Linked DNA regions of Ovis aries. The protein of the gene in region 1 interacts with the protein of each later gene in a pairwise test. Links are inferred from orthologs where the notes say so. Each region holds a gene or a part of one and is shown in the gene's direction. Other genes may lie near its edges.

Region 1 (3,654 bases):
CCTTTAGAATGGACTGGTTGGATCTCCTTGCAGTCCAAGGGACTCTCAAGAGTCTTCTCCAGCACCACAGTTCAAAAGCATCAGTTCTTTGGCACTCAGCTATCTTTATAGTCCAACTCTCACATCCATATATGACCACTGGAAAAACCATAGCCTTGACTAGACAGAGCTTTGTTGGCAAAGTGATGTCTCTGCTTTTGAATATGCTGTCTAGGTTGGTCATAATTTTCCTTCCAAGGAATAAGCGTCTTTTAATTTCATGGCTGCAATCACCATCTACAGTGATTTTGGAGCCCAGAAAAACAAAGTCCGCCACTGTGTCCACTGTTTCCTCATCTATTTCCCATGAAGTGATGGGACCAGATGCCATGATCTTCATTTTCTGAATGTTGAGCTTTAAGCCAACTTTTTCACTCTCCTCTTACCCATCAAGAGGCTCTTTAGTTCCTCTTCACTTTCTGCCGTAAGGGTGGTATCATCTGCATCTCTGAGGTTATTGATATTTCTCCTGGTAATCTTGATTCCAGATTGTGCTTCCTCCAGCCCAGTGTTTCTCATGATGTACTCTGCATAGAAGTTAAATAAGCAGGGTGACAGTATACAGCCTTGACGTACTCCTTTCCCAATTTGGAACCAGTCTATTATTCCATGTCCAGTTCTAACTGTTGCTTCATGACCTGCATATAGGTTTCTCAAGAGGCAGGTCAGGTGGTCTGGTATTCTTATCTCTTTCAGAATTTTCCACAGTTTATTGTGATCCACACAGTCAAAGGCTTTGGCATAGTCAATAAAGCAGAAATAGATGTTTTTCTGGAACTCTTGCTTTTTCGATGATTCAGCAGATGTTGGTAATTTGATCTCTGGTTCCTCTGCCTTTTCTAGGGCTTGGGGCAGTTCCTCTCGGCGGCGCCTGTCCTCTGCGACCAACCTCTAGTTGTTCCTTAAATACTTATTGTTGTAAACCTCATAAAATCAGTGAGGATAACATCATGTACTGTTCTTTGAGGCTTTAGAAGATATGTAAAAGATTGCTCCTGCTATGGAAAGTATTGTGGCATTACATTTACCTTCTAACTGTAAAGCATTATGTTCAAAACTACAATAGAAAATCTGATTAGAAATATATTTGGTTTTTAAAATTTAGTTTTGAATATGAGTGAGTATAAAACCAATAACAAATTATATATCCCTTAAAATGTTTTATGGTGGTGGTGGTTTAGTCGCTAAGTCGTGTCCGACTCTTGCGACCCTATGGACTATAGCCCGCTAAGCTCTTCTGTCCATGGGATTTTCCAGGCAAGAATACTGGAGTGGATTGCCATTTCCTTCTCCAGAGGATCTTCCTGACCCAGGAATCGAACCTGGGTCTCCTGCATTGCAGACAGATTCTTTACCGACTGAGCTATGAGGGAATTGCCATAAACATAAAACATAAATAAAAATGTTTTATAGCATGTCTTATATTACCCCCTATTCTTGAATGTGTATAGAACCTGTGTATATAATGGGTGACTGTGTTAGTTAGGTTACATTTTATGGCAAATGGTGATGGGATCGCCTCTCGTGATTATGCTGTGGTTACGTGAGACTCCATCATAGCAGTCTGGGGAGAGCAGTGGGGAGATGCACTCCTCCTACCCTGGAAGAAAACAGACATCCTGTTGTCAAGTGCTTCTGGGCAAGTGCCTCTAGGAGCTAGGAGCAGTGTCCAGACTATAACTAGCAAGAAAATGGGGACCTCACTCCCATAACTGCAAGGAATTAATTCTGTCAACAACTTGAATGAGCTTGGAAGAGGACCCTGAACCTCAGATGAGGCCACAGCCCCGTCAACACATTGGTTGCAGCTTTGTTGGGACCCTGAATAGAGTAAACTTTTCCTTGAACTCTCTATTCATGGGAACTATGAGATAATAAATTTGTTTTATTTTAGGCTTTTAAAGGAATTTATTATGCAAAATGAAAAAGCAATAACTTTAAGATTATTGAACTGAGCTTAAGTGTTTTCATTTGTAAAATTGGGATCATAGCTCTTTATAGGGAAGTTATATGAGTAAATGAGGTGCTCATGAAAAGAACCTGGAAATCAGTAGGAGGTCAGAAGTGTTGATGTGTCAGGCAAAGAAGACATTGCTTCCTGTACGTGGCCAGGATGGAGTGTCACTTGAGAGAGTGGTTTTTGCATCTCTCGGGTGCCAAGCCAACTCAGGGCGTGACTGGCAAGTCACAAACAACTGAAGTTCAGTTTATGTTTTGTTGAACAAATGTTACTGGAATCTGGAATCTACCTGAAAGGAGAGAGGATTATAAAGTTCATCATAGTTCAATCATGGAGCTCTGTCTTTTTGCAGTGGTCTTTAAAATCTGGTGATTATCAAGTAGTACTTCTTTCTTTCCTTGTTTAGTTTGCTGATTTTTTTATATTCTCTTATTGACCAGTGTAGGTCTCTTAGTTAGCTATGAATTCCCACTAAAAAGGCATGTTAAATCCCCCCCCGAAAGTGTATGCAAAAGAGTACAAGGAGTTTAGTTTGCTGACCGGACACCAAGTACTACTCTTGAGGAGTTTTGTGACTTGGAGCGAATCAATTTCAGGTGACTGTCTCACTTTCCATGTCCAAAGAAGAGTATTTCTAAATATATTTCTCGAGAATTCTAAGAAGATGCAGAGAATAACCTACAGGTCAAGATGTAGGATATCAAAACATTCCTAGATTTCCTTTACTCACTGATGAGGCACTGATGAGACGGCACTTCATTTTTACACCTGTTCCTGTAGCTAGAAGCTGTTTTCCTATCTCTCAGCTGGGTGGCTTTAGCTGTGTTGTTGACCAAAAAAGAGAATTATCCAAAATATTATAACAATAAACCTCCCCTTTTTTTTCTCTGTTGTAGGACATAATGATTATATTTGTCCAGCTACAAATCAGTGTACCATAGATAAGAACCGACGTAAAAGCTGTCAGGCCTGTCGACTGCGGAAGTGCTATGAGGTCGGAATGGTGAAGTGTGGTGAGTGTTCCCGTCCCCTTCTGTGGTATGTGGGACATGCTGAGAGCCAGGTCAAACTGGGGACAGTGTGAGGACCTGAAGACATGGAGTCTAGGTGAGAGGAGATTTAGGGCGCGGTAATATCTTCAAGTGTTTGCATGCTGTCCCACGGCAGGGGCGTTGACTTAGTCTCTGTAACTCTGGAAGACAGAGCTGGGGTGAACAGAAACAAGTTGCAGGAGGCAGATTTGGGCCCCGCTTTAGGAAGAACTTTCTCCAGGTCAAATGGTCTGACACCAGAATAGGCTGCTGCATGAATTAGAGAACTCTAGCCACTGAAATGCTCAGATGGGCTGGATGACCGTCCACCTGAGGCCTTGAAAAGTCCCAGGATGAAGTTCTGGTACATGTTCACAGTTAAAGCTGTGACAAGAAGGTAGACTATATTGTGGGTTACTTGGGATGACTCATGCCTGTCACTCCGTTAACTTTCTAGAAGTGGAAAAAATGTATATGCAGGAGTCAGAAACATGATAGACCGATGGAAAGCACATAGAGCAAGAATTTTGTTCTAAGATGGTACGTGTGCATATATGTGTGTATACGCAGATGTGTGCATGCGTGAAAAGACAGAGGGAAATGGGAACACTAGTGTAACAACTG
Region 2 (3,654 bases), on another chromosome or scaffold:
GTGAAATAAATTTAGTTTGTAAAAATTGTATCCCAGCTTTATGTCCACTTTTTCCCATTGAACCACCTTTATTCTTGGTCCTTTCTGCTGATTATGTAAGGTTTTGGTTCTAAAATGCAAATAAAATCTTCACAAAAGAAGGAATCATTTGAGATGTCGCCTTCTAGGAATCTATAAGGCATTGTCCTCAGACTTCTTTTCCCAAAGTTATTTTTTATTCCTGAGGGCTATGCTTCTTGGCTCACTTATTCTCCACTTATGGATTCAAAGACAGTATTTCTCCAAATACAGTTTGACATGTAAAAAAGTAAATGGAAATTAGCATTTGTAAAAAGAACTTCAGTGCCCTCATTTTATTTTCAGTGTGTGTATCAGCTTCTATTTAGCTCCTACTATTTATTAAACTGACTTACGTTGGAGAGACAGTTTAATTCACTGGGTTTCCCAAAGAAGCGAGCCTGGAGGGTGCAGCATGGTGTGTGAAGTCAATGGATTGAAGTGATTTTAAATCCTTCTTTCTTAAGGAATTGAACCCTAGAACTTTATATTTTACTTCTGTTGAAGGAATAAAAAGGCTATCTTCAATGCTGGTATTTTCAACAAAACCAAGTCTTTAAAAAAATTAATCTGTGCTAAAAGAAAAAAAGTGAATCTTAAATGCTTCATTCACAAATCCAGTGAAATGTTCATTATGCCTGCATGAGAGCCCAGTACTGGGTGGTCATCCGTGTGCTGTTGATGGAGTTGTCCTCATTTCATCTGAATGTGAGGCTGGCATAGACTTGGCCAGTTTCAGTGCATAGCGCAGTGCCTGTTAGAGTCTTAGTACAGTGATGCCTCATGCAAACCCTGAAGACTGAGGAGCTCCAGGTTCTCGATGCTTTGCTTTTTGCTTCCTGAAGCAGCGTGCCTCTTTGCTTATGCCAGAGAAGGAAGGGCCGCCCCTTACCCCCCTGGAAACGGGCATGCCTGAGCTATTTGTGCCACCTAGATGAGGATTGCTTGGCCATACCCTAAAGGTCACAAAGCTTTTCTTGCTGAAAGTCTAACTTCCCTGATTTTGGGGGCTCGTTTTAGGTTATCCTTCTCAACCAGTTGAACAGAGGCCACTTCAGCAGCTGCCTCCTCAGCTCGTGCAGCATGTGGCACCCCCAGCACAGCCGCCACCGCAGCAGCCGCAGCCACCTCCCAGCCAGCCGCAGTCTCAGCAGCAGCAGCAGCAGCAGCAGCAGCAGCAGATGATGATGATGCTCATGCTGCAGCAGGACCCCAAGCCCGCCAGGCTTCCGGTCCCCCAGAGTGCCCACCCCCCCAGGGGCCCGCTGACCCCGGACGCCCAGAGAGTGCCCGCGCAGCCGAGCGGCGGCGTGCCTGTCATGGTCAGCCTGCAAGGCCCTGCCTCAGTGCCCCCGTCACCTGACAAGCAGAGAATGCCAATGCCTGTGACTACTCCTCTGGGAAGCACTTCAAGGAAAATGATGTACCAGGAGAACCCCCAGAACCCTGCCAGCTCACCACTGGGGGAGATGTCCTCGCTCCCAGAAGCAAGTGGCAGTGAAGGACCGTCCGTCTCAGGAGGCCCAAATAATATGCCTCCACATTTAGTGGTCTCCCAGAATCAGTTAATGATGACAGGGCCAAAACCTGGACCATCACCGCTTTCAGCAACTCAAGGTGCAACTCCCCAGCAACCTCCTGTAAATTCCCTGCCCAGCTCTCATGGCCACCACTTTCCAAATGTGGCTGCTCCCACCCAAACATCTAGGCCTAAAACACCCAACAGAGCCAGCCCCAGACCCTATTATCCCCAGACACCCAACAACCGCCCTCCTAGCACGGAACCTTCAGAAATCAGTCTATCACCGGAAAGACTCAATGCCTCCATAGCAGGACTCTTCCCCCCACAGATTAATATTCCTTTACCTCCCAGGCCAAATTTAAACAGGGGCTTTGATCAACAGGGCCTAAATCCGACAACTTTGAAGGCCATCGGGCAAGCACCTTCAAACCTTACCATGAATAATCCTTCCAATTTTGCTGCCCCACAGACTCACAAATTAGATTCTGTGGTGGTGAATTCTGGAAAGCAGTCTAATTCTGGAGCACCAAAACGGGCAAGTCCAAGCAACAGCCGCAGGTCTAGTCCTGGGTCAAGTAGGAAAACCACCCCAAGTCCTGGGAGACAGAATTCGAAAGCCCCTAAACTTACACTTGCCTCTCAAACAAATGCAACGTTGTTGCAAAATGTAGAGCTGCCAAGAAATGTATTGGTTAGTCCTACTCCTTTGGCCAATCCGCCTGTACCTGGGAGCTTCCCTAACAACAGTGGGCTGAATCCTCAGAATCCTACCATGCCTGTGGCCACGATAGGGGGTGTTCTGGAGGATAACAAGGAGAGCTTGAATATGCCACAGGACAGTGATTGCCAGAATTCCCAGGTTAGGAAGGAGCAGATAAACATTGAGCTAAAAGCAGTCCCTCCCCAAGAAGTGAAAATGGTTGTCCCTGAAGATCAATGCAAAAAGGATGGGCAGCCTTTGGATCCTAACAAACCTCCCAATGTCGAAGAGAACAAAAATTTGGTGTCTCCTGCTATGAGGGAAGCACCAACATCGCTAAGTCAACTTCTTGACAACTCTGGAGCTCCTAACGTGACTATTAAACCCCCCGGGCTTACAGATCTGGAAGTAACACCTCCAGGAGTGTCTGGAGAGGACCCAAAAAAAGCATCTGTCATTCCCTCCCTGCAGGATCCGTCTTCTAAAGAACCCTCCAGTTCCCTAAATTTACCTCACAGTAACGAGCCGTGTTCAACCCTTGTGCATCCAGAATTGAGTGAGGTCAGTTCTAATGTCACCCCAAGCATCCCTCAAGTAATGTCAAGACCTGTCAGCTCTTCCTCCATTTCCACTCCTTTGCCCCCAAATCAGATAACTGTTTTCGTGACTTCCAATCCCATTACAACTTCAGCGAACACATCAGCAGCTCTGCCAACTCACCTGCAGTCTGCATTAATGTCAACAGTTGTCACAATGCCCAATGTGGGTAACAAGGTTATGGTTTCTGAGGGACAGTCAGCTGCTCAGTCAAATGCCCGGCCTCAGTTCATTACGCCTGTCTTTATCAATTCATCCTCAATAATTCAGGTTATGAAAGGATCACAGCCAAGCACAATTCCTGCAGCCCCGCTGACAACCAACTCTGGCTTGATGCCTCCCTCTGTTGCAGTCGTTGGCCCTTTACACATACCTCAGAATATAAAATTTTCTTCTGCTCCTGTGCTGCCTAATGCCCCCACCAGTAGTCCTGCTCCAAACATACAGACAGGTCGACCCTTGGTCCTTAACTCAAGAGCCACCCCTGTTCAGCTTCCTTCCCCGCCTTGTACAACTTCTCCAGTTGTTCCTCCTCACCCCCCTGTCCAGCAAGTAAAAGAACTGAATCCAGATGAGACTAGCCCTCAGGTGAGCACCTCAGCAGATCAAAGCACTCTGCCCTCTTCACAGACAACCACAGTGGTTTCTCCCCTTTTGACCAATAGTCCAGGCTCCTCTGTCAACCGGCGAAGCCCAGTCTCATCTAGTAAGGGCAAAGGAAAAGTGGACAAAATCGGCCAGATTTTGCTGACCAAGGCATGTAAAAAAGTTACAGGCT
Region 3 (3,220 bases), on another chromosome or scaffold:
GAGCAGCACGCCTACGACCATTGATGAGTACTCAGATCCCAATCCTAGCTTCACCGATGAGAGCAGTGGTGATGAAAGTTCTTACTCCAGCTGTGTGCCCATAGACTTGTCTTGCAAACACAGGATAGAAAAACCCGAACCCGACCAGCCTGTTTCTCTGGATAACTTAACTCAGTCCTTGCTAAACACTTGGGATCCAAAAGTCCCCGAAGTTGACGTCAAAGAAGATCAAGATACCTCAAAGAATTCTAAGCTAAATTCGCACCAGAAGGTAACCCTTCTTCAGTTGCTGCTTGGCCATAAGAATGAAGAAAACATGGAAAGAAACAGCAGCCCTCAGGAAGCACACAGCGATGAGACAAAGTTCAGCACACAGAATTACACCCGGACGTCTGTAATAGAGAGCCCCAGCACCAACAGGACTACTCCCGTGAGCACTCCACCACTGCTTGCATCCACCAAAGCCGACTCTCCCATCAACCTTTCCCAACACTCTCTGGTCATCAAATGGAATTCCCCACCATATGCCTGTGGCCCCCAGCCCGAAAAGCCAGCGAATACCGCCTCGAGCCACCTGATGGACCTTACAAAAAGCAAAGAATCGCAGGGGGAGAAAGCCATCCACAATGAAGGTGCACAAAACTCGGCCACGTTCAGTGCCAGTAAACTGTTACAAAATTTAGCGCAATGTGGAATGCAGTCTTCCGTGTCAGGGGAAGAGCAGAGACCCAGTAAACAGCTGCTGAGTGTAAACACAGATAAACCTCCAGGTATGATTGATAGACTGAATAGCCCTCTGCTAGCCAATAAAACAAGTGCAGTTGAAGAGAAGAAAGCATTCAGCAGTCACACAATAGGTCCTGAACCAGGACTCTCTGGGTCTGAAATAGAAAATCTGCTTGAAAGGCGCACCGTCCTCCAGTTACTGCTGGGAAATCCCAACAAAGGGAAGACTGAAAAGAAAGAGAAGATGCCCTTAAGAGATGAGAGCACTCAGGAACATACAGATAGAGCTTTAAGTGAACAAATACTGATGGTGAAAATAAAATCTGAGCCTTGTGATGACTTGCATCCGCATGGCGCGGGCATGCACTTGAGCCACGAGGCTCCGGGTGCCCCCTTCTTAGGGACGGCCCCTCCCATGCAGAGAAGCGCACCTGCCTTACCAGCATCTGAGGACTTGAATCCAGAGCCTGGCTCACCTCAGGATTTTTCTTTCTCAAAGAACGGTCTGCTAAGCCGATTGCTGAGACAAAATCAAGACAGTCACCTGGCTGATGAGCTGGACAGCAGTCACAGGAACAGTGAACTGACACTTGTAGAATCGAAGAACCTTTGCATGGTCCCTAAGAAAAGGAAGCTTTACAGCGAGCCATTAGAAAACCCCTTTAAAAAGACAAAAAGTAACACAGTCGATGCTGCAAACAGTCACAGTGCTCCGGAGGTGCTGTACGGGTCCTTGCTTAACCAGCAAGAGCTGAAACTTAGCAGAAGTGATCTTGAATTTAAACATCCTGCCAGTCACGGTTCAGCCAGCGAAAGTGAACCCAGGAATTGGACCAGAGAGAGCAAAAGCTTCAACGTCCTGAAACAGCTGCTTCTCTCAGAAAACTGCGTGAGAGATTTGTCTCAGCACAGGAGTAACTCTGTGGCTGACAGTAAAAAGAAAGGACACAGAAGCAGTGTGACCAACAGCAAGCCTGAATTCAGCATTGCTTCTCTAAACGGACTGATGTACGGTGCCACTCAGCCCGGCGGTTGCATGGACAGCAGGACCTTTCCATACCCAGGTGTCGGAAGGGCCGCCCTGAGTCCTCCTTTCCCTGAGCACTTGGGCTGCACAGGGTCTAGACCAGAAGCTGGGCTTGTGAACGGGTGTTCCATGCCCAGTGAGAAAGGACCCATTAAGTGGGTGATAACAGATGTGGACAAGAATGAGTATGAGAAAGACTCTCCAAGACTGACCAAAACTAACCCAATACTCTATTACATGCTCCAGAAAGGAGGCAATTCTGTTACCAGTCGAGAAACACAGGACAGGGACATTTGGAGGGAGCCTTCATCTGCTGAAAGTATCTCACAGGTTACAATCAAAGAAGAGTTACTTCCTGCTGCAGAAACTAAAGCTTCTTTCTTTAATTTAAGGAGCGCTTATAATAGCCATATGGGCAATAATGCTTCTCGCCCACACAGTGCAAACGGAGAAGTTTATGGACTTCTGGGAAACATGCTAACAATAAAAAAGGAATCAGAATAAAATGGACCTGCCACCCAACTTTGGATCTTTTTAAAACTAATGAACTTGAGATCTGTATAAATAAGCGCATGATTTGAGAAAAGCATGGTATAATTGAAACTTTTTCGTTTTGAAAAGTATTGGTTAATGGTGATGTTTAAATATGCAGACTACTTTTTGCTTCATGTTAAATGTCATGAGGAAGCTGCTGAACTAGCAATTGGTTGTTTGACACCTTCTGTATGCATCAGACAACAACTGTGAGTAGCCCATGAATGATAATTCTTTTTTTAATCACAGATACTAGGCATAAATTAAAATATAAATCTCCATCCAGCAGATTAATGCATTGCTGCCTTTATTAGAGGACTTGATTTTGCTTTTCAGAAGCAACCTATATAATACGTTTTTTAAAGTCCACATTACTAAATAATAACTCTTTAAAGGGTAATTATTGAATTAAAAAACCTAGTGCTGTTTCATTTCTCATTCAATTCCAAAACAATTAGAAAAATATATGCTTACATTTTTCACTTTTGCTAAAAAAAAATTATTTTTGACTATTGAAAGGGGTTTTGTGATTCCTCAATGTGTCTGGGCTTCCCCGATCCTTTTCAATATTCTGTATTTCTTTAAACCTTGTACTACTTGGTAAAAATTGATTACAATTGGTGGAAGTTTGATAGATCTTAAAAAAAGGCAGATTTCCATTTTTGTATTTTAACTACTTTACTAAATTAATATTCCTCCTTTTACAGAATTAGGAGAGTTAACATTTATCTTCAGATGGTTTCCTAAATAACTGAAATAAGTTGTTTTTAACTAGCAAAATGGCTTTTCTTTGGACAGTTTTCACCATGTCTTATAAAAGCCACTTCTCACCATTTCTGTGGTACCTGTGAGTCTGACGACCAGGGTTTCTTAAAGCTGGACTCAGACCACCTGCATTAGCATCATCCAGAGCACTTGCTTTAAAATGCAGAT

The links. The genes of interacting proteins can lie anywhere in the genome.
Region 2: the proteins of ESR2 (region 1) and NCOA6 interact in a two-hybrid assay, tested with the Homo sapiens proteins (3 studies listed by BioGRID). The link is inferred for Ovis aries from reciprocal best matches to the Homo sapiens genes ESR2 and NCOA6.
Region 3: the proteins of ESR2 (region 1) and NRIP1 interact in a two-hybrid assay, tested with the Homo sapiens proteins (2 studies listed by BioGRID, with this or other methods). The link is inferred for Ovis aries from reciprocal best matches to the Homo sapiens genes ESR2 and NRIP1.

The regions. Positions count from the first base shown.
Region 1 is NC_056060.1:74,522,379-74,526,032, reverse strand, and holds part of ESR2 (estrogen receptor beta), read left to right. Parts: intron 1-2,895; coding exon 2,896-3,012; intron 3,013-3,654.
Region 2 is NC_056066.1:64,069,312-64,072,965, reverse strand, and holds part of NCOA6 (nuclear receptor coactivator 6), read left to right. Parts: intron 1-1,077; coding exon 1,078-3,654. UniProt on the Homo sapiens protein: Nuclear receptor coactivator that directly binds nuclear receptors and stimulates the transcriptional activities in a hormone-dependent fashion. Coactivates expression in an agonist- and AF2-dependent manner.
Region 3 is NC_056054.1:143,016,099-143,019,318, forward strand, and holds part of NRIP1 (nuclear receptor-interacting protein 1), read left to right. Parts: coding exon 1-2,257; 3' UTR 2,258-3,220. UniProt on the Homo sapiens protein: Modulates transcriptional activation by steroid receptors such as NR3C1, NR3C2 and ESR1. Also modulates transcriptional repression by nuclear hormone receptors.